4 linked regions of the Diceros bicornis minor genome follow. Each later gene encodes a partner of the first gene's protein in a complex. Links are inferred from orthologs where the notes say so. Each region holds a gene or a part of one and is shown on either strand. Other genes may lie near its edges.

The links.
Region 2: the proteins of YWHAG (region 1) and CFTR are in contact, whole or in part, in a crystal structure (PDB 5D3E), measured with the Homo sapiens proteins. The link is inferred for Diceros bicornis minor from reciprocal best matches to the Homo sapiens genes YWHAG and CFTR. Residues at the interface, in NP_036611.2 of Homo sapiens: Lys50, Arg57, Arg61, Lys125, Arg132, Tyr133, Leu177, Asn178, Val181, Glu185, Ile222, Leu225, Asn229, Leu232; in NP_000483.3 of Homo sapiens: Arg766, Gln767, Ser768, Val769, Leu770.
Region 3: the proteins of YWHAG (region 1) and CASP2 are in contact, whole or in part, in a crystal structure (PDB 6S9K), measured with the Homo sapiens proteins. The link is inferred for Diceros bicornis minor from reciprocal best matches to the Homo sapiens genes YWHAG and CASP2. Residues at the interface, in NP_036611.2 of Homo sapiens: Glu15, Asn43, Val47, Arg57, Arg61, Lys125, Arg132, Tyr133, Pro170, Gly174, Leu177, Asn178, Val181, Glu185, Glu213, Asp214, Lys217, Asp218, Leu221, Ile222, Leu225, Asn229, Leu232, Trp233; in NP_116764.2 of Homo sapiens: Asp137, Leu138, Ser139, Leu140, Pro141, Phe142, Pro143, Val144, Cys145, Glu146, Leu150, Lys152, Lys153, Leu154, Ser157.
Region 4: the proteins of YWHAG (region 1) and CAMKK2 are in contact, whole or in part, in a crystal structure (PDB 6Y6B), measured with the Homo sapiens proteins. The link is inferred for Diceros bicornis minor from reciprocal best matches to the Homo sapiens genes YWHAG and CAMKK2. Residues at the interface, in NP_036611.2 of Homo sapiens: Ser46, Val47, Lys50, Asn51, Arg57, Arg132, Tyr133, Gly174, Leu177, Asn178, Val181, Glu185, Ile222, Leu225, Asn229, Trp233; in NP_001257414.1 of Homo sapiens: Leu99, Ser100, Leu101, Gln102, Glu103, Arg104.

Annotation. Positions count from the first base shown.
Region 1 is NC_080765.1:3,537,480-3,544,788, reverse strand, and holds the start of YWHAG (14-3-3 protein gamma), read left to right. Parts: upstream 1-4,296; 5' UTR 4,297-4,457; coding exon 4,458-4,544; intron 4,545-7,309. UniProt on the Homo sapiens protein: Adapter protein implicated in the regulation of a large spectrum of both general and specialized signaling pathways. Binds to a large number of partners, usually by recognition of a phosphoserine or phosphothreonine motif.
Region 2 is NC_080742.1:68,339,443-68,346,784, forward strand, and holds the start of CFTR (cystic fibrosis transmembrane conductance regulator), read left to right. Parts: upstream 1-4,340; 5' UTR 4,341-4,381; coding exon 4,382-4,434; intron 4,435-7,342. UniProt on the Homo sapiens protein: Epithelial ion channel that plays an important role in the regulation of epithelial ion and water transport and fluid homeostasis. Mediates the transport of chloride ions across the cell membrane.
Region 3 is NC_080742.1:90,548,445-90,555,496, reverse strand, and holds the start of CASP2 (caspase-2), read right to left. Parts: upstream 3,019-7,052; 5' UTR 2,962-3,018; coding exon 2,888-2,961; intron 345-2,887; coding exon 194-344; intron 1-193. Other genes in the region: TMEM139 (transmembrane protein 139), read right to left, coding at 4,560-4,959, 5,171-5,505. UniProt on the Homo sapiens protein: Is a regulator of the cascade of caspases responsible for apoptosis execution. Might function by either activating some proteins required for cell death or inactivating proteins necessary for cell survival.
Region 4 is NC_080774.1:8,552,922-8,560,220, reverse strand, and holds the start of CAMKK2 (calcium/calmodulin-dependent protein kinase kinase 2), read right to left. Parts: upstream 3,015-7,299; 5' UTR 2,018-3,014; coding exon 1,872-2,017; intron 1,346-1,871; coding exon 1,179-1,345; intron 1-1,178. UniProt on the Homo sapiens protein: Calcium/calmodulin-dependent protein kinase belonging to a proposed calcium-triggered signaling cascade involved in a number of cellular processes. Isoform 1, isoform 2 and isoform 3 phosphorylate CAMK1 and CAMK4. Isoform 3 phosphorylates CAMK1D.

The sequences.
Region 1 (7,309 bases):
CTTCAAAATCCTCTGTCGGGATCCTCTGCAAGACCATCCTTTCTGGCTGCGGCCCTGTTTGCTCCTGGGATTGTCTATAGTTCTGCCTTCCTGAGTTTTTGCTGCAACTTGGCCACAGCCGCTTGTTTTGGGGCAAAAACTTTCAAGTCCTTCTCAAGAGGAAAGAACATCACTAGGTCGATCCTTTCTTAAAGCAGAGTCTTTTTCATTGAACAAAACTTTCCTGAGTACCTGCTCCATGCAAGGTTTGGAGCTCAGAGGTGACTCAGATGGATCTCTTTCTTTGAGGAATCCGTTTGTAAGACCCTGGGGAAAGACAGACTCATATACATACAGGTGCATTAAGGAGGTCTAGACTCCATTCTGGAAGTATGTAGCGTGGGAACTGAGGGGGCCGGAGGGCACTGAGAGGGTGTAGTCAGTTCAACTCACAGCGTCTGAGTCTGAAAGATGAGGGAGTAAGTATTGAATGGGGGTGGGAAGAGAAGGAGATCCCAGCAGAAGGACAGCTTTTGAAAAGACCCGGAGTTGGAAGAAGGTACTGCGAGGCCGGGAAATGCCAAGGTTGTATGCCCTGTGTGAGATGCAGCTGGAGAGGTAGACAGGAGCCCTCAGGAAAGGCCTTGAATTCCAGGCTAAGGAGCAGGGACTTTGGCCCATATGCAGTGGGAGTGGCATGCATGGTGGAGCCAAGGCAAGGGAGGAAGAAGATGGGATGTACATTTGTAAAGATCTGTCAGATCTTTTACTGGGCGAGGCTGGGAAGACACTGAGGCAGAGTGCTTGAAAGGCTGTTGCTACAAGCTGGAAGATCTTAAGAAGCATCCATCCAATTCTTTTATTTTATAGATGCACAATCTGAGGCCCAGAGAGGTAAAGTGACTAGCACAAGATCACCCAGCAAGATCAATAGCAAAGTCCAGGCTTCAACCTGTGGGTCCTACCTCCCAGCAAAGGCTTCCTTCACTGCCCCAGTATCCTCAGGAGGTGAGGCATCCCACTGGGATTTCTCTGTTGTCCTTTGCCTCTGAATCTGTTATGTGCTCTGCCCCTACTGAAGACCAGCCTGCTAGGGCAGTGACGGGGGAAGTGTTCCCAGAGGACAGAGTGGGGAGCATTGCTGGTCTGCTTCTGAAGATGCTGCAGTTGCTGCTACTGCTGTTGCTGCCTCCACACCAATCAGGGAGCTTTCTAGCCGCAGGGGAAAGCCAGGAGCCAGGGGATGGGGCTGCAGTGATTTATGACTGCACAGAAACAGCAGGGCACTAATGTCTCTGGCTGGCCTGCTTGTCCACCAACTCAGCCAGAGAGGATGCATGTAAAGGTCACGTCCTCCAGCGCTGGAGATGGGGCGGAGGGTTAGCCATACGGGGTGCCTGCAGAGTTCCCTTGTGTCAGGCCAGTCACCAGAGTCACCTCCTTTCCTGACCAGATGCCAAGGGGTAGATCCTCATAGCCTGGTCAGGAAAGGGTGCCCTTGCTGCTGGGAGTCTGGAAGATCTGCCTGAGTTTGAATTTAGGCTCTATCAGTCACTGATATGTGACCTTCGGCTGGTCACACAGCATCTCTGTGTCTCAGCTTCCTGGTCTAAAAGTCAGGGATCATGCTGAGCCTCTGAATCCTTGGGACTGAACCATCTCCCAGGTCTGCAGGTACAGATTCCCTGTTTCCACAGCTAAAGAATGCCAATAGCTTTCCATTTCAGAAGATGAACATACTGAATATAGAACTATGACTGTCACAGCTGGGTGGAGCATTTAGTGCTCATTTCGTTTAATTTCTACTTCAAAGGTGGGGAAATTAAGACCCAGAGAGGGGACAGGCCTTGCACATAGAGCTGGGAGCCAGGCAGAAGCCAGAATGCTAGTTCTCCACCTCCCTGCTCCCTGCTTTCAGTAGTACCAGGCAGTGGAGGGGGAAGCCAGAATATTAAGCCCTTTGCTCTGTGTAATGTCGCCATGCCTCTGAAGCAGCCCTCTAAGCAGCTAGGGGCTGCTGGGCAGCTATAGCTTTAAGCCTAGTGTCTTAAAAAAATCAAGAAGGGAAAGGAGGGCAGGACCAGCTCTTCCTGAACCACTGGAGGGAAGCCTCCACGTGGAGACTGCAGGCCGGAGAGGCAGCCTGAAATGTGCCAGGAAGTTCCCGAGAGTTAGCATCTGGAGCCTGAATCGTTGGTACGTTTAATCCACATGTGGACAACCAGGGTTGGCTGTAAAGGACATTCCCATGGACCTGTGATGTCCAGGCTAGAATGGTTCAGGCCTGGCCTGTAGGGAGGAAGAGAAAGGAAGAGGAATGACTTGGCGAACACTCATGTAAAAGACAGAAGGAAGTGGGAGGGTTTATTCACCAGCACAGTTGCATTTTGCTGGGTGGTGTAGTAAAAGAAGGGGGGCTACAGCCTATGTTGGAGGAGGGAGAGAAGAGAGCTATTTCTAGACTCTCTCCTCACTCAGTCCATCTCCACTCTTGCCAGAGTAGTCTCCCTACAGTGCATGCATTCACTTACTCATTTCTGTATTTCATATGTTCTGCATATTTACTGTGTGCTGGGCACTGTGCTAAGCACTGAGGAGGCAATGATGTTGAGGAGGACAAAATGCACATCTTATCGTTTTTCTGCCCTGATTAAAATCTCTCACAGGCTTTCTATTTATTTCAGAATAAAGACTTCACTCCCTTGCCTGCCATTCAGGGCTCCTCATGTTTTGGCTCCTGACTCCATCCCCAGCCCCACTACCCATCCCTTCAGGCAACAAACACATTGGATTCTTTGCCTATCAATAAATATTGATAGGAACCTGCCTCTGAGTCCTGCTGCTGGTGTCCTCTGCCTGCTCTCAAATCCTACACATCCTTTAAGGGCTGAGTTGGAAATGTTACCAATCTCTCTGGAGAAGTTTTTCAGAACCTCTTCCTATCAAGCCTGAAAGAATTTAAAAAGATACTTAACACATTCTAAATTCCTTGAGGGCAGGGTTCCATTCCCCCTTCCTCCAGCACCTAGCACAGAGCCTGGAATATTCCCTCACAGAAACTCCTTCATTCTAGGTTCTCATACACAACACTTCGTATCCTTTATTTTTTTACTCCTTATCACTTTCTAACATACTCTACATATTTATCTTTATCTTGCCTCTTTTCTTGGGTAGGGATTTTTTTTGTTCACTGCTGTACCCCGTTGCTTAGAACAGTGCTTAGAACATAGTGCTCAATAGATAATTGCTGAATAAACGAAGTCAGTAAAATGTGCAGTCAAAACTATGGGGTGTGTGAGCTACATGGAATGTCAAAAAGGGAAGCATATGAGCAAGAATTTGTCAGTCTGACCTTAATGTGTATGTTCTAGGTGGGGAGAGAAGGGTTGGTCAACCCCCAGATACAGCCCAGTGTTCGGCATACAGTAGGCTCTTGGTAACTGAATTGAATCTTGAACACTCCATCCTGGAGAGCAAGAAGGGGCTCTCCAGTCAGCCTGCAGACAGCTACGTCCTTTCTGCAAATTAACCAGTACTCCGGTGGTAACTATCCTTCCATGTTTTCACCTCGTCAGGTCCAAGAACCTCAAGGTAGGGATGGGGAGCTGGAACCTTGTAGGGGAGGGTGACAGTCCCCCAAGGTTTAGCTCCTTAATTAAATCTGCCGGCCGGCACCACTCTGACAGTTTGGATCTACAGGGGTCGCGCCCCCTATCCCCCGTCCCCCTCATGGCCTGTTACTGTATATCGGAAATAGAGGCCAGGGCGGAGGCCCTGGCCCCCTCCTCTGGTAATTTCCCAAAGAATATAGGGCGGGGCCGTGAATCAGCACTCGCTTGGACTGATGCAGTCTTCGTCCCCGCCAGGGGTCCCCAGCGGCCGCGGAGTTAGACCGCCCATCCTCCACCTCCTGCGCGCTGTGACCACTGGGAGATGTAGTCTTGACTGCCCCTTTGTCCTTGATGTCCCCAACGTTTCACCGCACCTGAGGATGAACTACAACTCCCAGGGGCCCACGCGCCGGGGCCTAGCAGGGTGGGGGTCTGCGGCGCGACGGACTGGGGTGCATCTGGAGAAGCTGGGGCGCAGTGAAGTGAAGAACGGGAAGTTCTAGGGGACAGCGGGGAAGGAGGGGACGCCTAGAAGGCCGCGGCGAGCTGAGCTCGGGTGAGGGGGCCGGAGCAGCGGAAGGGCCGGGGCGGGGCCTGGGCGGGGTGCGCGGGCGGGGGGCGGGACCGGCTGCGTCACGCGGCGTGGGCGGGGCCGCAGGGGTTGTCCGCCCGCGGCACGCACAGCAGCCGCAGCCGCCTCGCGCCCGGTCCCGCGGTTGAAGCTCTAGCCGCCGCTTTCGCGTAGTCGCCGTCGCCTCAGCCGCTCGCTTCGTGGGTCGGTCCCTCCGGCACACGGGCTCCAGCCGCGCCGCAGCCGTCCTTCAAGCCGCCCCGGTTTCCTCGCCCAGCTCGACCCAGCCCGCGAAGATGGTGGACCGCGAGCAACTGGTGCAGAAAGCCCGGCTGGCCGAGCAGGCGGAGCGCTACGACGACATGGCCGCGGCCATGAAGAACGTGAGTCTCTTCTCCCCTCCCCCCACTTCGTCCCAGCCCCTTCGCAGACGCGGGCCTTCGCGGGGACGGCCCGAGGACTAGTCGCCTGTCGCGACTGCAGGGTGGGCCGCCCCTGCTTACCCACTCGGGCCTGGCGAGGGTCCCGATAGCGATAGGGCCTCTCCCCGCATGTCCCCCAGGGCTGGCGGTGCTGCCTCCTCGGCCCTCCCCGGGCTCGGTCTGGGGCGGGGTCTGGCAGGGCTGGTCTCAGGAGCGGGGTCTCTGGCCGCCGCGTCTCTGGGTGTGCCGGGGACCTGAGCGGGGGCCGTGCGCATCCTTTGTGCCCCACTTCCCCTCCTCCCAGTCTGGGCGTGGGGGCGGGGGACCGCATGGATGCGGTTCCTCTTTCTCTCCCTGGTGTCTGGGCGGCGCCTTCCCGATTCACTTAGCACGTCTCTGGGTTTTCTGATACTCCCCCCACCTCCCCGCAAATCATCTTCCCCACTGCCTCTTCTGACAGATCCTTTAGAACCCCCCCGGAAAAAAATGTAGGCTCTCCCGAAAACCTGGGCTCAATGGTGCAAAATCGAAACCTCCTTGCTCACATTTTTCTTAACAAAAGGCTCCTCTTTCTCCATTCCCCAAAGCAAGTTCTCTTGCTTTTAGGAAGGGGGAACGTTTGTCTCGCTAGCGTTTTCATTGATTGTTCTCAACATGTCATCTCCATTCCCCGCCCCCCCGTTTTTGTATTGAAAAGGGTAGGTTTTGTCCTTAAAATAAAGGTGGTGAATTTAGCTTACTGGTTCAATTTGTGACATATGCTGTTTGTTTTTTAAATACAGGCACACATCTGTTGAAATTTCTATAAGTTGAAAAAATATTCTCTCTGATCTGATATTGCAGACAAAGCGGTGGTGGGAGGCAGTATCAAGTCATTCCAGAAGATTCTGCATTTGTCATATTGCAGAGAGCCTAGACTGGGTGGAGGCTGGGAGGAGTTATTTTAAAGGGGCAAAAGTCTCTTCTTTTTTTTTTTTTTTGATTTGCTTTGTTGGATACATCTGAAGCTTTAAAGAAAAAAACACCTAGCACATCCTCCTGCTGATGAAAAGTCAATACTGATCTCCAGGTGTCGCATTTTGTCTGGGATGCAGATTCCTGCCTGTATTGCACCATTTTGTCAGTAACACCACATTTACTTAATGGGCTGTCAACCAGTTTGATATTAGAGGAGGGGGGACGTTTTGATCATTATTCAGTTAAACATGGCAAATTAATGATTTAGGTCTCCTACTATCTTAATATTTAACTTCCTGCCTTATGTAACAAAGGTTTTAAAATGTGTTTCCAGTGTGAAGTGGGTGCAGCAGTGTACCTTGCATGTTAAATCTTTTTAGTGAAGCAGTATAGGTGTTACAGATTAATTCTTGAGTAAGTTGACTAGTTCCCAAAAGATGACAGTGCTGATGCCTTTATATTTAAGCCAGCTACATTAACAAAAAAGATTATCTTGTTAAGAGAATTGATTCTGAAATTGGGAGTACTGCTGTTTTAATATTTTGCCACAGTCACTGTCTTTAAGGCTCAAATGATATGTTGGACTTTTAATAGATATCAATATTGAAAATATCTTTAGTTTGTGTTATTTAGACTCTTCTAATTTTTACATATTTCTAGTTTCACAGGAAAGTGAGTGACCTCGCACCTATAACCATAGCAACCCAGTGATGTCACACACAATGACACAGAGGCTGCAGTGCATCTAAGGGCTGGTAGGGAGTTTGCAAATGCAGTTTGTCCAAGGTAATGCAGAGATTAACAGATTAGCCAGGTGGAATTGAGCACTTCATCTTCCACCAGAAAAGAATTGGTCCAAAAAATAAGAATTTCATTTACCCTTAGATATGCAAATCAGTGACCTTTAGGTATGCCTATTCGCCTTGCTATTTCTAGTTTTCTCGAAGTTTATAAATACATTTCTATTTTTAAACATTCATCTCACGATTAAAATGGGGCAATGATGGAATAAAGATAGAAATTTTAAACAATATTTTAATGATAGTGCAGGGGCGGGCTGTATACTTGGGTTCATTGCAAATTATTAACTTGGCAACTTTTAATAAAAACCTTTAAAAATGACTTCCTGCTGGATCATTTTCAGGAAATGTTAGGGAATGAGAATCTGTTACAAAACACCTTAGGTTGAGATTTGGAAAAGTTCTTTTTTGCTATATTTTTGCTTCTGCTGCTTGACAGGGTATGGAGGAAAGAACATTTTATAAGATAAAGCAGACCTTTTTCAAACCTGTTTACTGTGACTTGGAGGAATTAGGCTCCCCTCTGGCCCTCGTTTTCCTCATCTGTAAAATGGGTCAATACCTACTTGAAAAAGTTGTGAGAATTAAAGAAGAAATGTAGTAAGTGCCCCAAAATGGTAACAATTTATAGAACTTTGTTTCTTCCTCTGCTGGAGAATTTTGAAAATACAGGAAGATACAAAGAAAATAGTCCTACCACTGAAGTAAGCTTTCTTCTGAAGCTGAAATCATCCTGTTGATAAAGGGATTAAATTTATTTGCATTTAATGAAATTATCGTAGTAATAACACTGTTGGGACCTGTACGGCGTGATACTTGTATGTGGATGGCCAGGATAAAAATAACATGCAGTATTTTGAAAAGGAGGGAAGGAGTAGTTTAGTCTTAAAAGATAACTGTGTAGTCTTGCGTTTAAGGAGAGTGAACACGGAGAGGTCTCCTACTTACTAGACAATACTATCTTGCCCT
Region 2 (7,342 bases), on another chromosome or scaffold:
ACACAATTCCTGTCTTCAAGGATGTTGTGGGGAAGAAGGGTTATGTATGTATATAAATAGAGGTATGTCTGCGTGTGTGTTTATAAACAGAATTGTCAGACCAAACATAATGTTGGAAGCAGTAAAAGTAATGAAAGTCTGACCTAATCATATGCCAGGACACCTCTCTCTGGGTCTGAAACATCTTTGTCAGACTGTAATGTATATTTACATCCTTGGTCATCACGGCGGCACACTGTGAAGAGCTTCGGCTGCTCTTACCCTCCTAGTTTAGGTAAATTTATAAGCAGAACCAGTTTATGCACATGAAGCTAACAAGGCCTTGCCCTTCTCTTTTTTGGTGAGCTTTTCTTCCTTACAGGGATGACTTTTTTCCTTTCTCCTTCTACTTTTCCAAGTTTTAGTTGGCCACTACTTAGCATGGTTAAAGCCCGTTCTCAGGAAAGAATCTGAGGAACACACTTAAATTAAATTGAAGATGATGAAGAAGTAAAGTATAGTGAAATTTTGCTCTGGTAATATCTAATGGTGAAACCTCAGCCATCACCTGGCAGAGTGAGTACCGTATGACAGGAAGGTTGTCTCTTATAGGTGTTCATCTATTGAGATCATTTGTAGGAAGCACATAGCACATTGCTGAACACATAGCAGGTACTAAATAAATGTTGGCTTCCTTCTCTGCTCTTCCTCCTCCTCCTCCTCTTCTTGCTTCTTTTTAATATACCTTTAAAATGGTGCCACACAATTGGTACACCCATGTTCATAGCAGTATTACTTACAATAGCTAAAACCCAAGTGTTCACTGATGGATGAATAGATAAACAAAATGTGGTGTGTATACATATACATATATATATATGTATACACAATAGAATATTATTCAGTGTTAAAAAGGAAATAAATTCTGCAATATGATACATGGAAAAATCTTGAGGACATTATGCCAAGTGAAATAAGCCAGTCACAAAAAAGACAAATACTGTATGATTCCACGTATATGAGGTACTTAGAGTAGTCAAAATCATAAAGACAGAAGTATAATGGTGGTTGCCAGGGGCTGTGGGGAGGGGAGAATTGGGAGTTAGTGTATAATGGGTTAGAGTTTCAGTTTTACAAGATGAAAAGAGTTATGGGGATGGATGGTGATGATGGTTGTGCAACAATGTGAATGTATTTAATAACACTAAACTGTACACTTAAAAATGGTTAAGATGGTGAATTTTATGTTATGTGTATTCTACCACAATAAAAAAAATGATGTCACAGATGGCCACCTAATCTTCTATATTCAAGATCAATTATGCTTAAAACATTAGGAAATTCTGTTGGGGAAGCATGTTTAGTGGTTAAACGATTGGGCTCAGGCAACAGGCTGTTTAGGTTCAAGTCGCAGTTTTCTTTGTTATTATTAACTCTGCAACTTGCTTGGGAAAATTACCAAACTTTCTGTACCTCAGTTTCTTTACCTGTAATATATGGATAATAGAGAAGTTACCTGTCCCATGAAGATGTTTATAAGAATTTAAAAAGGCAACACATGCTGTGCATTTGGCATGGCACCTGGCATATATGGTAAGTGCTCAACAAATGTAAGCAAGATTATAATCAAATTTTATGAGCTGATATTTGAGCAGCTTGGAGAGAAGAGCTTCACTGTTTCTTATTACCACCTTCCACTCTCATGCCAGCTTGTTGATCTCTTTCCTATTCCTGACATCTCAAAGATACATTTAGGATTCCAGCGATGACCTTCAGCTATATTTGAATACTTTCCCGGTGCATAAGTCTATATTCCCACATTAGGTATGTACCTAGATGCAAATCTTGAACATTATGTCTCAGTTAATTCATTTGTTCACGTCTGCTAAACAATGTTAACATTATGAATAGTAGTGAAGTCTTACTTATACCAAGAACAAATTTGGGATGTCATCTTTTATGATAAAAATCTAAGGTCTTCCTATGCACATGCTTGTGCACACACTTAAAATGGAATATTATAATTAAGTGTCATTTATTAAAATTATATAACTCCAGCAGCTACTTGGTTTGTCGATTTCTGCTTTCTTGTCTCAGTCTTGGAAAGGTCTAGCAATTATGATTTCATGAAACTAATGTGAGGAGAAAGACTGGGTTGGTGTGTAAGTGATTGTATATAAATATATGAGGGATGATTTGATTAGAAGCAATATTACACAATGATAGGATTGATGGTTTGAAATTAGACCTGAGTTCGAATCTTGGCTTTACCATTACAGGTATTGACTTAACTTCTCTTGTCTGTTTCCTCAACTGAGAATTGGGGAGAATGACATCTATTTACATGGTTGTTGTAAAGTTTACACGAGATAATGCCTGGCAAATAGTAAGAACTGAAGAAATAGTTACTATTTTATTTATTCTTTCCAGAAGGAAACTGATTGACAAATATTTGGGGTCTCTTTGAGCCATATCACTTGGTCAGCTTCTGTGATCTTTGGAACTTAATTCTTAATCCCTTTATTGTCACTTGCTCTTTGATAACAAAGAGAAAGTGATTACCAATTCATTTCAAAATGTGTGTATTACAGTTGATGGGTCATAGTAGCAGTTGTAAAGCAAACAACAGAGTGGGGGTGGGGAAGTGGATGGAGTAAGTTCAGTCACATACCTGGGAAAAGTCAATAATGAAGATGGAGCCTCAATGTGTATGTCTTACCAGAGAGAGGAAAACATGGGTACAAGATTTGAAGCAATAAATCAACTTAGAAATGCTGAAGTTCTTTCCTGGCATCAAACTTCATGCAATTTGGTTTCTCTCTTTGTTCTTATTTTCTCTACTACTAAAATTTAGGATAATAAAATTTAAATGTTTATAAAACCCACTTTAAGACAGAAAAAGTATGACCTTGAAATGCAAAGTGGAGCTATAAAAACTTGCTGAACGCGTTCATTAATTTAAATACATGTTCCTGTCTATTATTATGAAATGCATAATTTTGTTTGTACTGTATTTGGGTGACCACAAGTCAACAGTAAGGTAATTCACAAGTAAACACCCTGGCCTTAGATGTAGAGGCAATAAAGTAATCACACCAAAATTTTTACTTTCATTTGAATTTTTCAGTTTAAACTCAACGTGCCCTTGCTTTTACACAACAGGATTAGGGATTAAACACTTGGCTCTTTAAAAACCATCAGACAGGCACAAAATCTACACACCAAAAACTCGGGGAAGGTAAGGTGCCCACACCTGGGAAAGCTTAGATGAAGATGGCGTTTCTCTAAGTCAAGTCAGAGGTAACGCGCTACCTTCGCTGCAAAGACTGCTTGGATTCCTTTCTGTGTATTAGTCAAGATGTTTTGCTGACTGAGTCTAGGAAATCTACAGGAGGGCGGGTTAGGTTACACGCTGTCCACTTGTCATCGTAGTCTCTAACACACACAAAAGCCTTCCTTAAAAACGCAAGCCGGACTGAAAAACTTAGGACAGACAATGAACACATCCTGGGCGGGTAATGGACAAAGCGATAACTCCTCTTACCTTCTTATAGGATTCCACCCCCCGCCCCCATAAGTACATCTCCTAAGAGATCTCTGCTACAGTTGGAGCTCGCCTAAGCCTGAAAAGAACAAAGCTTGGTTCTTCTCTCTGACACTCAAAGGAAGCGCTAAGGTGAACACATCTGACACTGCCGCGGAACTTTCCGGCTCTCTATGGCTGCATTTTGATACAGGAAAGACATATTTTCGTTCCCCTTTCAAAATGCACCTTGCAAAGGTAACACGAACCCGGCTAGGATCTCGGAAAAGGGGAGGAGGAAGAAGGCTCGGAGAAGTTGGCAGCGGTGACTACCCGGTTCGGCAGAACCTGGCGTGTGGGAGGGTCCAGGAGCTTCCCCGGGGGGCTGGTTCTGCTCCTGCCGCTGGCTCTGTCGGTCCTCGAGCGTCGGAGACTGGACCTGGAGAGCGGCCGCGACTGTCCCCCACCTGCGGGCTGGGCTGGGGCTGGACGGTAGGGACGCGGACCTGCAAGGAGCGCGCGCGCGGGAGGAAGGCTGGGAGTCAGAATCGGGAAAGGGAGGCGCGGGGCGGCGAGGGAGGGAAGGAGGCGAGAAGGAAGGAGCGGTGGGGGTGCGGAGGGGGTGGAGAAAGCCGCTAGAGCAAGTTTAGGGCCGGACCAGGCAGCGCCGGCTTTTAACCTGGGCAGTGGGGGCGGGGGAAGGAGCAAGAGGAAACGGGAGGTGTGTGGGGTAGGGTGGGTTGGGGAGTTGGAAGCAAATGACATCACAGCAGGTCAAAGAAAAAGGGGCGAGCAGCAGGCACCGAGGAGAGTAGGGCGTTTGGCATTAGGAGCGCAAGCCCAGCCTGCCCCGGAGGGATCCCGGCGCCCCCAGAGACCATGCAGAGGTCGCCTCTGGAAAAGGCCAGCGTCATCTCCAAACTTTTTTTCAGGTGAGAGGGTGTCCAGCCGAGCTTCGGAAGGACACGTGCCCGTGAAAGAGGAGGGCGTGTATAGGCTGGATTCTGGGGAAAGAGGAATAGTTTTTAAAAAGATGCGCTATCATTCGTTGTTGTGGAAGAGAACGTGGATTTTGTGGAATAAAATAGAAAACATTAAGAAGAGATAAAAGAATAAACTGAAGCCCATTGTTTGGGTAGAGAGCCTTAGCTTAATATTGAAGTCTTAACTACTTGCAACTGAAAGTCAGGCTCTCAAGACCCAAGTGTGCTACTGTGCATTGTTGTTTTAGATTTTTCTAAGAAATTTATGAATTATAAACTTGTTAATAGCAAATACTTAAGTTTGGTTACTTGTTTTCCCCCTTCCTGCCTTGGAAACTCAGATGTCTTCTTGGCACACAGACAACAATGCCATGCCTGCCTGTAGTAGGTGCTCAGGAAACATTTGTTGACTGAATTTTGAACTTTTTAAGGGGAGAGGGGTGAAGCGAGTAATATGTGCTTAAGTAAAGTTTTTATTGTTATGATACTCAGTAAATCGAACAAGCATTTGCCGCAATTCCATTATTCTTCCTTTTAAGAATGAAAGCAAATGTTTTGAAATATCTATCTTAAAAAAAAAGCCAATTTACGAGCTATAAATTTTAAAAGAGGGGTCAGAATTATCATGGAAATGTGAAGCCATGGGAATAGACTCAAGTTATATCCAATTGACATTTAATAAATTGTACTCATCCTATTTTGCATGCGATAAGCCATAAAAGCTTGCAAACTTCATCTAATGAGATTTTTAAAAATAGAGTCTAAGTTCAGAGTCTTAGGCAAAGTGTAATTAGATGTAGCATTTCATATTTGAAGTCTTCTTTGGATACTATATCTGCTTTGTTCCTGTTAAACTTGTATGAATGAATGAATAGGTACAGCTCTCCCATGGGATATTGCTTGACTCATAATTATCCAATGAATCAGCATACTTAAGGTATCAGAAAAGCCAAATATATTATAAATATGCCCATATGTGTGTGTTGAGAAGGTACTCGGCTTTCACATCTTTCTATGTTTTATTCCCTGCATGAGCAATAAGCCTGGGACTTAGGTGCTAAGGAGAGGCCATTGACCGTTGAAGGAGAGCTCCTCCCTGTGGATGAGAGAGAAGGACTTTACTCTTTGGAATTAATCTTTTGTGTTGATGTTTTTAGCACCTTTTGTTACTCCATCTATAAAAATTGGATTATCTGTTGATCTATTTTCCTACTACTTACCAAATCAGAATGCTAACTGGCATAAATTGTAGACTTTTTAGTAGAGCACTTTGAGGAACCTAAATGCCAGTCAGTGTAAAAATGCAGTTTTCAGAAGAATGAATATCCCATGGCTACTTCTAAGTACTAAGTACTAAGGAACTTTCAATGAGCTCATTGTTGATTTAAATTAGATCATTGTTGATCTATTAAAGTTTTTTTTTAAACAGATCCCCTTATAAATTTTAGTATAGTTTAAAAAATGCTCTCAGGTTGATTTGTAAAAAAAAAAAAAAAAATGTATTATAGTGGCTACTAGATTTGTTAAGAGCATACTCATTCCTCTTCTCCAAACTATTTCATAACAAGTTGCTCTAAGAATAGGTATATTTAAAAAAGTTAAGTTCCTACTATTTATAGGAACTGACAATGACCTAAAGTATCAGTGATTATAAACTTCCTTCTGGGTTGCAATTCTGAAAGGATAAGAAATTTATTTTCTGGGTTGAATTAGACAGTACTGCTTAGGGATCAAGGGTGTTAGATTTTGGATTTGGATTCTTTTGATTCAAATCCCAGATCTGCTACTTAGTAGCTGTGTGACCTGAGGCAAGTCCCTTAACATTTCTGTGTTTGTGTGACTTGACCTTTAAAACTTGGAGACTAATAGGACCTATGTCATAGGGGTTAATCTGTTGAGAATAATGCATGTAAAGTGTTTGGCCCAGTAAATGTTGGCTGTTATTATTATTATTATTATTAATTACCATACTTTTACATTCTTTACAATACCACATACCTTGTTTATATAAGATAATCAGTTCATCTTTGTTGAATATAATTCGTGACTTTCAGTCTGTATATGCAATGAATGGGCCTGGTTGAGAATTTAGTTTAGGTAAAATCTCATCTAACATGGCCTTACTAGATGTATAGGAAAAAAGTCGTATGCTTATATCATGTGTTGTTAAATGCCTTAGAATTTAACATTCTGAATATGATCCCTTCAGTCTCAGAGTCATAAAAAAATAAAGCTATTATGGTCTGGGTTATGGATTATATTAAATATCTCTTTCATTATTTAGGTTTTGTTATTGGAAAAGTTAATAAAATTTGGGAAAAATTTAAGTACTTTCTTAATTTTGCATGAGTTTCACATCAAGTACAAAATCTGAAGTGTCGTAATGCTTATATATGTATTTTAATAAACATAATCTAAAAAAGAATTTTAACACAAAATTTAAAATAGTTTATGAATATCATAGAAAACAAGTAGATTAACTTAAAGCTTTTATGAAATAGGAAGATGTTTTTGAACTAGAGGTGATATATTTGCATAGAATTTATGATTCATATACAGTGACAGTGATTTATAAATGTTTACCAACAGAGATGATGTTTTTCATTTTTGAGCAATTTTCCAAGTTTACATTTTCTTTTCTTTTTTTTTTTTCGTGAGGAAGATTGTCCCTGAGCTAACATCTGTGCCCATCTTCCTCTAATTTGTATGTGGGACACTGCCACAGCACGGCTTGATGAGCGATGTAAGTCCATGCCCGGGATCCGAACCTGTGAACCCCGAGCTGCCAAAGTGGAGTGTGCAAACTTAACCACTATGCACCCAGGCCAGCCCCCCAAAGTTTACATTTTCTGATAAC
Region 3 (7,052 bases), on another chromosome or scaffold:
AAGAAAAATATGTACGAGTGAAGTCCTTCCCATTACTCTTGAATTATATATCTTTTCTGTTAAATGCTCTAGCAAAGAAGGGCATTTTCATTTCCTTAGTAAGGTTCTACATCCTTGCCACACTTTATCACGCTCTGTTCCTACTCCTACAACCAATTTATTTTCTTGGCTTTTCTCTTTTGCCTCCAGATACCTGAATGAGCTCCCTCATTTCCAAGGTGATGATGTCCTTCTCCAGGAGGTGTTCTAACAGTTCGCTCAGCAACAGCTGTTTGGCCAGCACCACTCGGTTCTTTTTTAGAGCTTCCTGATGGTCAGGATGCATGCCACATACTCCCAGTATCCTACAGATAAAGGCAGACAAAAGGCTGTCAAGTACAAGATTTGGCACAGAAGAGTGGAGTGGAAGAGGTGTGGGTAGGAAGAGCAAAAAGAACAGGACCTATGATCGCCAAGATTAGATATATTTTATTGAATCTGGTTAAAACTAAAGAAGTATTAAGCAGTAACACATTGGTCATAAGGAAATGATGTATAATTCTTTATGGAGAATGTTCAACTGAGACCATCTTCTGAGATGAATGGTCTGACCAAGGGAAATACCTAACTTGACAAAAATAACACACACACAGGCACACATATTCATGAGAAAGAATATTCTTCTGACAGACCAATTTTAATCAAGGATTATTTCAGAAAACATTTTACATTATTTATCTAGACTGCTGAAAGTGATTTAAGTTTAAAATGATTCTCAGTGAGGAATAAAATAATTTAATACAATGGCAAAAACTCAAGCCAATGGCCAGCTTTAATAGAAGAAAAAATAAGACAGACAGACACATACATACTCTCTCTCTAGCCTACTTACACCAATTACAACTATGGCTTTTATGATTAGAATCCTGTAAGAATTGAGTGAGTAGAAAGACGACGAAAAGTCACAATAGATAAATGCCAATAATGAACACAATCAACATAACTTGAAATCACTTAACAAGTTAAATTATGTAAAGGCTAAATCATTTACTAGGGATGTCTTTATTTCAAGGATTCCTTAGTTTTGCTGTAAGTTTGAAAAGAGATCAGCCTCTGTTTATGAACTAAAAGAATCTCATTTCCAGTATATAACATCTACGTGCCTAGTTTATATAAACCTAGAGCTTGCCAGCCTACTTAGTCACAGTTTCCAAATACATGACAGTAAGGGCCTGATGGCAGTGAGAAAGGATATGGTAACAGCTTCAGTTTATAACTTGAAAACCTATTTAAAAATGCATCCTGATTTCAAAGATGTTAAAATGTGGGGGGAAAAATGTGCATCTTAGAATCAGTGAAATAGCATACATCTACCATGTACTTGGTTTGACTTTAAGTTAGAGATTTATAGTTAGAGGGAAATGCAGAGTCTTAGAAGAGCTGAGAGAGGCCCAAGAAGATAGCACAAAGAATCTAAAGGCATAGGAAAAGGTCAGTAAAACATTCCCAGGTTTGGAAGCAGCCAACTTTGATTCAATTTTGGGTATGAGAGAGTGATGTTTGAAACTCCATTTTAACTTTTTGTGTCTCTTCTGTTGTAATACTCTTTTTACCCTAAACCTTCAGCACAAACCTGCTACAACACAATCTAGAGAAATTAAAAACTCCATTTAAGAATCACCTTAGAACACATCAAAACAGTAACAATGATGACATATACTTACTGTAGTAAAAGTAAGTGTTAATAGGCCAACCACAAGTAACGTCGCAGCCGGATGCTGGGTATTTCCTTAGGATTAATATCAATGGTGGAGCAAGTTTACTCAGGTTTCTTCCTAGTTTACCAGAGCATTTTCTCCTTAACTTTCTCCTCCCTTAGTTTCCATGACACCATTCTCTCCAGGTCCTTTCTCTGCCTAATGTTCCTGTTTCCTTCACAGGACTTTTGGCCTGCCCTTAAATGCTGATATTCCATTAGGAACCCCCTCTCAAAGAGCCTCTCCCTATTCAATCTCATCCATACTCACAATTCACTAATTGACTCCCAGTTCTTAACTCTTTCAAGTTCTAGACTTAAATTTTCAATCAATAACTCATTAGGCTTAATCTGAAGCATTATCCCTTCTCCACACACCTGCTCCTTCCTGTATTCCATAATATGTGGAGTCTCAAACGTGGACTTTCCAAATGTAAGTGCAATCACCTAGAAATTTAGGACATGCCTAGAATGGAAAGATGGGGTGAAGAAAAGGACACAAAGGGAGTTCTTAAGTCTTGATTCTGTGTCCTTCTGCAAGTTCCAGCTCCGAAGTCCTAAATTAATCTTCTGGTCCGGACCAGGAGGCATTAAAATAATGTTATCCTGGGTGATGTCTGCCATGAAATGACATAACTGTGGCAGAGGGAGAGACACATATGCGGCCTCGGGAACCTCCCTTCCTTTCAAAGCACTCAAACCCCAAAGCCTGTGCTGACTGCTTTGCAAATCTGGTCATTATATCCAAAGCAATATGGGTCATGATTATGTTCAATCCGATCAAGTGCACATCAGGCAGAATTCCGAGGTCTGCAGGTCTCATCGGTTTTTAAGGGGGCAGAGTACAGATGCTCATAAGGCAAGCAGGGGAAACAAAAGATGGAGAATCTTTAAGAGAAGCCGAGATTTGGCAGGACTGGAAACGGTTCCTCTTGTTCAGATCTGCCGGGGTTGGACGAAGGGAGGCTGAGGCAGTCTTTGCTTACGAGGGACAAGGCTGAGAAAAGGCCTGCGGCCCGCGCGCCCCTCAGGGGCTCAGCCCGGCCTCCCACCCTTGCAGAAAGCTGCTTCCAGGGGCTCCGAGGGGAGGGGGCGCCAGGGCCTCACGCCTGAGACCCGCCTTCCCCTGCCCTGGGGCCCTCCCCCACTCACCTGCGCCCCCTGTCAGCAGCCATCAGCCCCTTTTGCTGGAGGGCAGGCAGAGAGCCCGCGCTCGGCGCCGCCATTTCCCGCTTTTCCCGGGCTGTGCACGCACCGCCCACAACCCAAACAAACCAAAAGCCGTCGCGTCCGCCGCATCCCTCCCTCGTCAGCCAGCGCACAGCGCGCCTGCGCGCCTCCCTCTTAGCTCCACCCCGACGCGAGGCCGGCCCCGCCCCCCAGCCGCCGCCTGCGCCGGTGCGCGCGCAGGCGCAGAGCCCTCGCGGTGGAAGCGCCGTCCATTGGTGAGAGAGCGCGCTCGGCGGAAAGGGAAGGAGCCGGGGGGAGACCGCGGAGCCGCCCCGTCCTGCGCGGGAATCCGATTGGTCGCCGGTTCCCGCGGAAATCACGGCGCCCTCCCCGGCCCCACCCCTCCTCACCCGCCTCTTGCAAGAACCTTATGCAGACGGATGTGGTCGGACTTTTCACTTTATTGAAGTTGAACGGTTGGCAGCGGGGTGAGGAGACGGTGGAGACACTAAACGGCGCTAGACAGATCCCCGCGCGATGAATGAAGGCCGGAGAGGGGAGCGCACCCCGAGGAGGGTGGATCAGCGATGGTTGAGCAGCACCCAGTGGCTAAAACCTACATCACAGCCACAGCACATGACTCAAGAATATCTGGTGTTCTGTTGGGATCTGATGTTCTAACTGGGAAGTAGGGCGGGGCGTCGGGGTAAAACCCTAGCGGTCGGAGCGCATGGGTGAGGCTGAAGTGATTCGAGGCACAGTGCAAGTGGCTCCAGCTCTTCACAATAGGTGATTGAAGAGGGATCCTTAGATACTCTGCCACCCGTCGCCCAGATGCTGACGTTTTTTCTTTCTGACCCACCTACCCACCCATTCTCAACATCCCCTGGGGCAGTTTACTCCACTGCTTTCCGATAGGATGGGGATACTGCATTGGGGACTGCTCCCCAGTGGAGCAGGGGCTATCACAACTTTGATTAGCTTTGCTTCTCTAGGGGGCTGGGCGCATTCCTGGTCACACTCAGCCCACCCTTTCTGTGGACACAACTGGTCCCCCATTATGTCTATGTGAAGTTTTACACCCCTCACCAGCAACTGTCCAAGACAGAGATTGAGAGGCTTCTGTTACCTTGTATTGAAAACACAATGGATTTTGGGATCGGAAGAGCAGAGTTCAAGTCATTTTTATGCTATTTACTAGAAGTGTGCGCCTGTGCAAATTATCAGACTTCTCTTACCCTTGGAATCCTCATTTTTCAGATAAGGGTAATAATACTTTACAAGGCCAAGAAGCCTAAGTGATCTAATAGAGGCAGTGCACCCAAAACAGAAGCAACATGGCTGTCTCTCAGATATTGTTTCTTTTCTTCCTCCTCCAGGTTCTCTGGATCACCTCTTCATTTCACCCTCAATCTAACTCTGGAAATAGAGGACATGGAGTAGGTCACTGAATGTTGCCTGAAGACTCAAATTGTACCACCTACATCTCAACTGGGAAGGACTTACCATAGCCTGACTCCCCTCTGGGTTAAAGTCCCCATTTGTGATGTCCAGGCGGAAACACAGTTCCTGACACGTGGCAGGCACTGGGAAATATTGGTCAAATGAATGAGTGGGTCTGGTGCAGAGAGCTGATATATCCTGGGAAAGTCTTTTAGGGGGGTGTCCAGTTGTCTTCATAGAAAACATTATCATCATCAGGGTGACCAAAGCTGACATCATAGGCAGGGGGTGGAGTAAGAGGCTCCAATCTGGGGAGCTTCTGTAGGGTCCCCAAGCTCTGCAGATCAGGAACAGTGGACACGACTCGTGTTCCCCGAAGCCGAAGGTTGAGTGGAGCTCTTCCAGGGCTTCTTGTGATTATGGACCCCTCTGAGCCCACTCGCCTTTCCAGTCTGGCTCTCATGGGCCCATCTGGATGGCTAGACTGTCCCTCCTCAAGTCCTGGGGGGATTACAACACTGCTGTAGGGGGGTGGTTGATCCAACTCTTGGGGGTGTGATTCTAACACCACGGACTCTAAATAGGTTGGCACTTCAAAGGCTTCATTGTCCCTGAGGGAGGAGAAGTAAGGTCATTGGTGGCTTCCTGAAAGGACCCCTTTTCCTAACTTCTACTGACAGAAGACCCCTCCACTAGCCCCTGATCCCTCCTCTCACTGATACCAGTGACAGGAAAGCGGAGACTGTGTGCCCGAGAGACTAGAGGGACGCGGGGAGAATGGGTCCCTGGTGTGCCTCCATTCCTGCCCGCCCCTTAATTCACCGTGCATTGCCTGAGGCCCCCGGGCTCTGGGTCTGCACTGATTGGAACCCACATTCCAAAAAACAGACCAGGAGGCAGGCAAACAAGAAGAAGCCACCCAAGGTCAGAAAGAAATAAGCAACAGGGGCGATGTCCAGCCGTATGCCCAGCAAAACCAGCCCCAGGAGGAGGGAGGCGCAGCACAGGAAGAGAAGCAGGTTCTTCAGTCGCCCCCACAACTGGCTTGGCACCATGGCCCCTCCCCAGATTCCTGTAAAAAGACACACAGCTGTTGTGTCTACACTAGCAATTGGCATCATGGCTGGGTCAGATTGCAAAGTAACCATATTAGACATACTTTGAGTTTCAGGTTCTTCAATCTCAAATCAAATAAATGGCCAAAATAAATGATCTGCAGGGTTCCCTCCAGCTCTGTGATTCTCTCTAGGATCACACTGTTGTCCCAGGGTATCAGTGTGTGTGGAATAGCCAGGAAACCAGCCTAGGAGTTCTGACTCCCAGCCCTGTGCGAGTTTACAGTGTCATGGCCCTGCTACCTTTCTTTTTCCTTCTTCCCTGCTGTCTGCCTTCCAGCTCTATGTTTCTACACCATCCAGGAGCCAGTCCTGGGGTCCACTGCCTGGAACCTCGGTGCTCACCGGCATCTCTGGAATCCAGGTGCTGGGCAGGCCCTGCCTTTTTTCACTCCACTGCTCGCACTGAACCTCCAACCCCCACCCTCCAGTCAGAGGCCCTCAGTCTGACCCTGTTAGGAAGAGAAGGGGGAAAGGAGCACCACTTACCCCATCTGACCCTGTCTTTCCATTTCCTCAGTCAGCCCATGCTCTGGTTGGAGGCAGAAAGTGCAGAGAGACACAACAAAGCCATGGGGACACAACTACGTGGGAGAGAATCTGACAGACAAAGGCCCAGGCAGTAGACAGAGGCCCAGGTAACACCTGACCTCTCTATACGCCATATCTGCCAGGGTCCCCCACCCTCTACCTGCCCTAACCTGGTAAAGTCAGATTTCAAGTTTCCTGCCTGGAGTTACCACAGGGGCTGGGAGGCTGGTGGGGAGAAGCCTTGTCTTTCCTCTGCAACCAGCAGCAATACCTAGGCAGCCCGTACACCAAAACCAGCCTGTGAGGAGCTCTCCGAACTCTGTATAGGAAGAAGTGGTGGACTCTACAAAGGGACCAGACACCCTCCTTCCACCCCTGCCCCAATCCCATGACCCTCCCGCCCTCTCACCGGCCTTAGGAGTTCCGCCCTCACCTGTCTCGGCCAGACTGGACACAAGTAGGTTGTGGGGGGAGTGAGAGAGGGGGAGGAGGCGGAGCCCACTGGCCCCACCTCTCTTCTGCAGGAATCCCTCAGTTCCTGCTCAGACTTCCTCCTCCCCTCTTCTGCTGAAGGCTGACCTGTGATTGCCCCACCTTGATTTTTCTGGATTTTACTCACTGCACCCACCCCAGGTAGTGCCTTAATGAGAGTACTCCCCACCCTCATACCCAGTGCTCTTTGTACTTAGGACCAGAGTTAAATTCACCTTTCCTTCTCCCTTCTTCTCAATGTGCATTGTATTCTGAGTAGTTTGCCTCATATTTAGGTAATATATTTTGTGCCTGGGAGCAGAGACCGAGGCTTATTTACTCTCTCTAGATCACGTGGTGTTTTGCACACTGTGAGCACTGCTGTGGCCATGGAATGATGTGTCCTGCTTCCGCTGCCAAAGTATGTTTTCTATGAATTCTTTGTTTTCTGCAGACCTGTAGGACGTGTTTGTGTATATGCTTCATGGCCCAGTTAACTTTTGATTCTTCAAAATCCACCCCCAAGGTGGTGCCTGCTGCAGAGGCTGTCTCCACATGTATCCGCAGTATTCCTTCCCACCCTGTCC
Region 4 (7,299 bases), on another chromosome or scaffold:
GCAGATGGAGTTCCGGAGACCCAGGGAGGTGAGAGGACCTGGTTTGAGGCCAGGCTGGGGTGAGAACCAGGTGTCCCCTGCGGCCCAGGACACTTACAGAGCAAGAAGCTCAACGTTTTAAGAGCTCTGAGGAGCTATTGTTCTGTCAATGACAAAGGATCACGGAGAGAGCGGCCCCAATCACACATCCAGGTATCGAAAGCCAGGTATGGGCTGGTGGCCCTGCCTTGAAGAGTGAGAAAGTGTGAAGGTGTGGGCAAGTGGGGGCCGGGTATCTAGACAAGGGAGGTAGGAACCACCTCACTTCCTTCCTCTTCTCCCACTGAATTCCTCCCAGGCTTTCACTGAACCAAAGGAAGACACAGGGAAACAACTGAAATTTCAATTTGTAATGAAAAGAAAGACTTCGACTTCAACATTCTGCAGCTTGGCACATCAGAGATAGAGGGGGCCGGCTCGGCATCCACAGCATCCGTGCCTTGGCCACCCACGGCCCTCCTCCCTCCCTCTTCCCTGCCATTTGGAGGTAATGCTAACTCGAGCTCTCTCCCTCCCCAGCCTCCAGCACAAAGGAACCCCAGCCAGCGCAGGCACGGCTCTGGGGGTCCAACCCTGTCCCAACACCTGGACCCAGAGCGTGGGAGCATCGTCTGAAATGAATCTAAATAAAATCTCTTTCCACCAGAGGCCCTGAAGGCAAAATCCCAATAAAAACCTTTAAAACCCATAAGGGAAGTGTCCCTTCCTCCACACCCTGCCCCCTGCCCCAACCACTAGTTCCCCATTTAAACTCCTCCAGCAGAAGGTTATCTCAGGCACCACCCACAATGCCCCTTCCCCATCTACTCACTTCCTATCTCATGCCCAAGCCAAGCGGGCAGAGGGGCAAGACTTTGGCCTGGGGAGGGGCGCATTTTCTTGGGGAACCATCCTCTCTCCTCTCCAGGTTAGAATTAGCATTTTTATCTCTGCAACTGCCATCTCTCAACTATTTACAGAAGCCAAGAGGATAAAAAGAGACAACATAAAAATAGTTACTTAGCAGCTTTCAGGATGGGATGGGGGTGGGGGCACAACACAGAATCTTCCTATTTTCTTTCTCTCCTTTTCAAAAGGGAAAAATGCTAGAACTGTTTATCTTTTCCAAAGCACTCCCCAATAGTTCACAGACCACTTACCTGGGAGCTTCTTGGGGACAGGGACCAAGTTCCAGCGTTCCTTGTCACCAGCCCCCCCAAAAAGTGTGGGTTCCATGAAAGACCATGAAGGTTCCAGAGCCATTGCTAAGTACAGCGCAGCGCCCTGCTCTGCCCTGTTTCCATCACCTCCTGGGCCTCCTTCCAGCCTTCCAAAAAAACCAGCCAGTCAAACAAAACAAAACAAAACTCTGGCTTTTCTCTACGCTTAAAATGTTTCATAATTGAAGAAAAAAAATTCAGTGGCAACACTACAAACAGGACAGAAACTGAGAACACTGGTGGCTAAAATAACTCCTTCCCCATTTTGGTCACTACCATCCCCCAGCAGGGAATGCCAGAGCCAGAGGTCTTCCCTAGGAAGTCGAAGAGCACTCACCTCCTTTTAAATATGCTATTTTTTTTGGTTTTGTTGAGGCAGCGATGCAATCAGGGAAGAAAGAACAAATAATCATTCAAAATCCTATTTTTCAGAGAGCAAAACCATTCAGAAATTATTTCTGCACCATAACCGCCTGGAGAGGGTGGATTCTACTCCATGAGAAAATGGGCATCCTTTGCCAGCATAAGGAGAGCGAGGGAGACACAAGAGCACGGGATTAGAGGGTGTGTCAGGATCCTACGGGACCTGAGGGTTGATTTTCTCTTCTATAAAATGGAGCCACCCTGGCTTACCTAGCAGGCAGCTGTAGCATCCATCCTCTATATGAAAGTGCCCAGCCCACAGCTCGGCTCCTAGTCAACAAATGAAAAGATCGTGATTTCCCTTCCTCTCTGCGCTCCACCTTCCCCAGGTCAACTGAGAGGGGCTGATGCCCCATCTTTTCTGGGCTCCCTCCCAGCTCTGTTTTCACGCTGCTCCATTTCCGGTCGGTCCGTGGTGGGCATTCCTGGCAAAGCTATCAGGAGAGACTGAGCCGACTCCAGGCCCGGCCACCGAGTTACGGCTCGATTTGTCTGGTGAGGCTTTCTCTACTTTGTGGATTTACTTACCCGGCAGAAGTTTCACAAAATATATACCAAGAAAATCACACGGGGACCTACATTTAACGAATTGTCATCACTGAAAAGAATGGAGCTGAATGAAATCCAGACTCTCCCTGACAATCACACTTCTAACACCTGTGACTTGACCGGGGAGGCAATGGGCTTAGAAGGGAGCTAGGAGTCCTGCGGAGGAGCGGGTGGCAGTGAAATTAAGGGAGTCCTGAAAACCTTCCTCCAGGAAGCTGGTCCCCAACTGATTTCAGAGACCCATCCTTGCATCGCCCTCTCTCTGCAAATGGAGTGAGAAGATAATGTCTTATGCCCAGAGGTTTATTAATTGGGGGCTGCCGAGGCAGAGGAATGGATACAGTCGCCTGAAGAGGATGGACATTAAGAACCCAAATGTCCATCAATGGATGAACAGATAAACAAAATGTGCTGTATCCATACAGGGGAATATTATTCGGCCATAGGAAGGAAGCGCTGATATATTCTACAAGTTGGATGAACCCTGAACATATTATGCTCAATGAAAGAAGCCAGACACAAAAGGTCACATATTATTAGCAGGTCAGTAAGGTAACAAGCACAGCCTCAAAGAAGAAAAGTCCATTCCAAAAGGCAATGCAATCTCCTCAACTTCCAGGAAAGAAGGCACAGAAGCTGGGGTGAAGGCCACTGCAGCACCACAGAGCCAGGCCGCCCTGCACCCCACATCCGGGTTCTCTAACCCAGTCCAAAGGGGAGGAGCTATTGCAAAAGCAAAATATCTGGCAAAAATAGCAGTGAAGGCCCTCTGACCCGAAGGAAAATCTGAAATAGCATTTGCCCCAAATCTCCAGGAAATGGGAACCATATGCTTCCCACAGCCACCAGAAGCAGGCATGTTGGGGAGAAGAAGGTCACAGGTGGCCCTGAACAAGTGACTCAGCCTCTCTGAGCCCTTCCACAAAATCGGTTCATGGAGGGGTACAGGCGATGCTGTGCCCCATGTTAAAATCTGAGCCAAAGTGCCCTGAAAACAGGCTTGGCCTGCCCCACCCAGCCCACCCCTTCCTCCTGAGAAAGGTGCCTCCACAGCCACTGGCCTGTCTTGGGTCCAGACTGAGGTCCTCAAGGAGGGAACTCTGGGTTCCTACAGAAAGTTCCCTCTGCCAGGTCATCCCGTCCTATCTCCCTTCCTCCTACTCCCATCCAATCTCCACTTCTTAGCCCATCCTTCCAGGCTCAGCACAAACAACACCTCCTTCAGGGAGCCTCCTGGATTCACAACAGAGGCACTCCTGGCATTTAGGGCAGGGCAATTCTTCATGCCTGCTGTGGATGTCTGCTGAGGATCTGGCCCGCTTGCAGGATATTTGGCATCTCGGCTCCTGCCCACCAAAAGCCAGGAGTGCTCAGCATCATTTTGACAACCAAAAGTCACCTCCACACTTTTCCAAGTGCTCGCCAGGAAGGTGAGACTGCCCTGGCTGAGGGCCACCGCATAGTTATTAGTGAATACATTTGGCCACCAGCCCCCTAACAACCTGGGAGCAAAGACAAGCCCAAGCCAATCAGCATCACCACCATGCCTGCTTAGATGTGTTCTCACAGGCTAGTTTGGTAAACAACTCTGGGCTCCTCAAGAAGCTGAGGGCAGCCTGCAAGGGCCCCGGGTCTAGAACAGGTGGTAAAGTGCAAAGGCTCTAAGGCCTGACATGCCTGGGTTGCTGTGTGACCCTGGGCAAGTTACTTAACCTCTCTGAGCCCTTTTATAAAATGGGACTAACTCCTAGCAACACTGCAGGACTGTTTCCAGCCTCAGTCTCCTTATATCTACAATAGGGATAAAAATTTGCCTTGTAGGATGTTGGCAGGCATTAAATGAGATAATGCATGCAACACATCACACAGTATCTGGCACCCAGCAAGAACTCAACAAATATGAGTTATTCACATCATTAATATTATTATCCAAGTTACGGGCTCATCAAATGACCGCTATTACTTCTTATTACAAAAATATGTTGTGTGCTCTCACTGCGAATGGCTGCTTTCTACACAGGAAGAGTTTATGAGCAGCCATCTGGAAGGAGGATCGAGACTCACTAGGAAGCTGCACTTGCATAGCATGCACACTGTTTATTCTTAAGCTGCATGTTTTTGTGGGGTGGTTTGGGAGAAGCAGTCTAACTCCCCCAAAGCCCTCCCCTTGTTGCTGCCCCTGCCTCCCCTAGCAACAAGGCAGCCTATGGGGACCTAAGTCTATCCTCTTTTCTCCCCTGGGGGCAGGGGCAGGGGCGGGGGAGTGGTGAATGACAGCACAGCTCTAGGGCACAAGAAGTTTCTATCTCTAGGATTGTGGAGACTTCCAGACCGAGGAAGGTAAAAGTTGCCTCTAAGGAAAAGGACCCTGCATGTCCCATCCCGAGGCCAACGCGCCCCTCTCTTGCTGACTGCCACTGAGATGCCGTCTGCCCCAACCTTCTGCGGGATATGGGGCAGAGGTGCAAGCTCTTCAGCGCCAAGTGAGAGCAGCAGGGCAGCTGGCAGAGCTGTGAAAACACCCGGCTTCCCAAACTGGGCAGTGCAGGGGGTGGGGGAAGCCAGGAAAAGCTCGAGGCTGGAGCGAGTGGCACCCCAGGCATGCAGAGCGGGGTTGGGCCCAGCACCCCGCGTCCCCGGGAGGCAGGCGGAGGGTGCCAGTGAAGGCACCTCTCTGCGTTCACAGCGGAGCTGCGTCCCCGAGGTGAATTTAGGTCAAAAGGACCAAGGCTGTGAGGTTCCGGCTGCGAGAAGGGGGGCGGGGGCAAAGGGCCCCGCAAGTGCTGCTCTGGGGTCCTGCCGCCTGATGTCCAAGCCCCCAGGGCCTGGGTTTGCCCCCAAGACACGCGCGGTGCGGGGGTGATATGCTCCAAGTCCGGTGGCCTTGTCCCCTGCGCGCTCTAGTTTCCCCACCTGTCAAACGTCGGGGGTGGGCCTAGGCCGCCTCCAGCATCCTTGACTGCCCCCGCCCGCGGAGACAGCGGTTCCAAACTCCGCGACCGCCCCTGCCACCCGGGCCGGGCGCGGCCCAGCCAAGGAGGCCACCCCCAAACCCCGGGCGCTCCGAGGACGCGGGGGAAGGGGCGCCAGGAGCCGCGTCCCCCACGTGGCGGGGCGTGGGGCGGCGCACGTGGGGTCCCCTCGGTGGGGGAGCCCGGAGCCGGCCTCGGGGCTTTGTCTGCAGTCCCGGCAGTGGTCCCCCGCCCCGAGAGCGCGAGGCCGCCGGGAGCTGCGTCCCTCGCCCGCCGCCCGCCGCCCGGCTCCCAGCTCCCGCCCGCTCACCTGGGCTCCGCGCTCGGCGCCCCCGGCTCGGCTGCGCTCGGCTCGGCGCGGCGCGCTCCTCTCCGCGGCCCCGGCGGGCGCGCGGGGGGCGGGGGCGGGAGGAGCCGCCCGGTCCCGGCTGCGGCGCGACGCCGCCGCGGGCTGCGCGGGGATTGGCCGCGGCCGCTGGAAACCCGGGCGCGCCCCCGCCGGCTCGGCCCCGCGCCGGGAGGGAGGGGGCGGGAGCTCGCGGAGAGGAAAGCAGCGGCGGGGCGGAGGCGGAGGCGGAGACAGGGGAGGAGGCGCAGGGGAGGGGAAGTGCGGCCCGGCGGGAGGGGTCGGAGGAGGCGGCGGAGCTGCGGACACGGGGAGACCTGCCGGGCGCACGAGCCCCGGAGGCTGCGCGGCGGCTTGGCCCCCGCCCGCGGCGCGCACCTGCCCCGGTTCTCCCCGCGGCGGCCGCGGCACCCTCCGGCAGGCCGGACGCGCCGGCAGCGCTCGCTTTGTTTTAGCCACAGGCGGGGACTGCAGGGCGGCGGCTGAGTCGCGGAAAGTTCCCCAAGCCTGCGGGACACCCGGGGGCCCGCCCCGCTCCCCGGCTCCCGCCCCGGGGCTGCTACCCCTGCCCCAGGCGACCCCGGTGGATGTGGCCTGGATTTCGGGTCACCATCCATTTGGAGAAACCCCTTCCGAACACGCTTCCTCACTGACCACTGCTCAGGGCTCGCCCTAAATTAGGCTGGGGGACGGTGTTCCTCTTCCACCCCGACTCCGCCAGGATATACCAAACTACACGAATCCCAATGAAGTTCTGGCTTTTCCCCAAGACTACTTAGATGCTTTTTGTGAAATACATCATATTCTTCTCGAACATTCTACTTTTGGCGCCCTACTTTGCTGGAGCCTTAAGTGTGTGTTTAGTCTCCCAGCTGGGCAATAGCATTGCGAGGGAGGGGGGCGGGGGAGAAGAGCTCAAGGGCTGCCAGACGGGGGCCTTCGGTGTTTCGAAACCCAGACCTGAACCGAAAGTTACCCAGGGGATGTCTCGCTGACCCTGCCAAGCGGCCGGAAGGGAATCAAGAGTTGAGGGGAGAGTCAAGGGCCGAATTAAAGGTTGACAGGTTTCGTCACCCCTTCTGATGTTATCCAACACGCACTCGTTCGTTGGTAACAGTAAGAACTTGGGAACAATCGTCCTAAATGTTCATCAGATGAATGGATAAATGAAATGTGTTATAGTCATTTGATGGAATACCACGCAATAGTTCAAAGGAATGCATTAGGTCTATTTGTACAGACATGAGGAGATCCCAAAAACAAAGAGTAAGTTGCAGAATACGATACACACAAATATGATGCACAATTTGTGTGTACTATTTTTAAACCCCACACAGTCTATATTGTTCATGGCCGCGAGCTTATATACAAGTGCTTTAAAAGTCAGAGGGGATGAGTGCAAATTAAATTCATGAGTCTGTCCCAAAGGAGGAAGTAGGGACAGAGAATAGAGAGGAAGAACATAAGCAATGTTGTCCATTTTATGCCTTTTTTTATAAATGGATTTGAAGCAAATGGCAAAATGTTAACAGTCAATTCTGAATGGTGGAGGCATAGCTCTGTATTTTTCTATTTTCTCCCCCAAAATATGTATCAGGGCTGATGGGGAGCATTTTGGACATTTCTGACTCTATGTTAGGGGTCAGCAAATGTTTTTTGTAAAGGACCAGATAGTAAATATTTTAGGTTTTGCAGGCCATACAGTGTTGCAACCACTGAACTCTGCCATTCTAGCAGCCATAGACAAAGTAAATAAATGGGGATAGCTGTG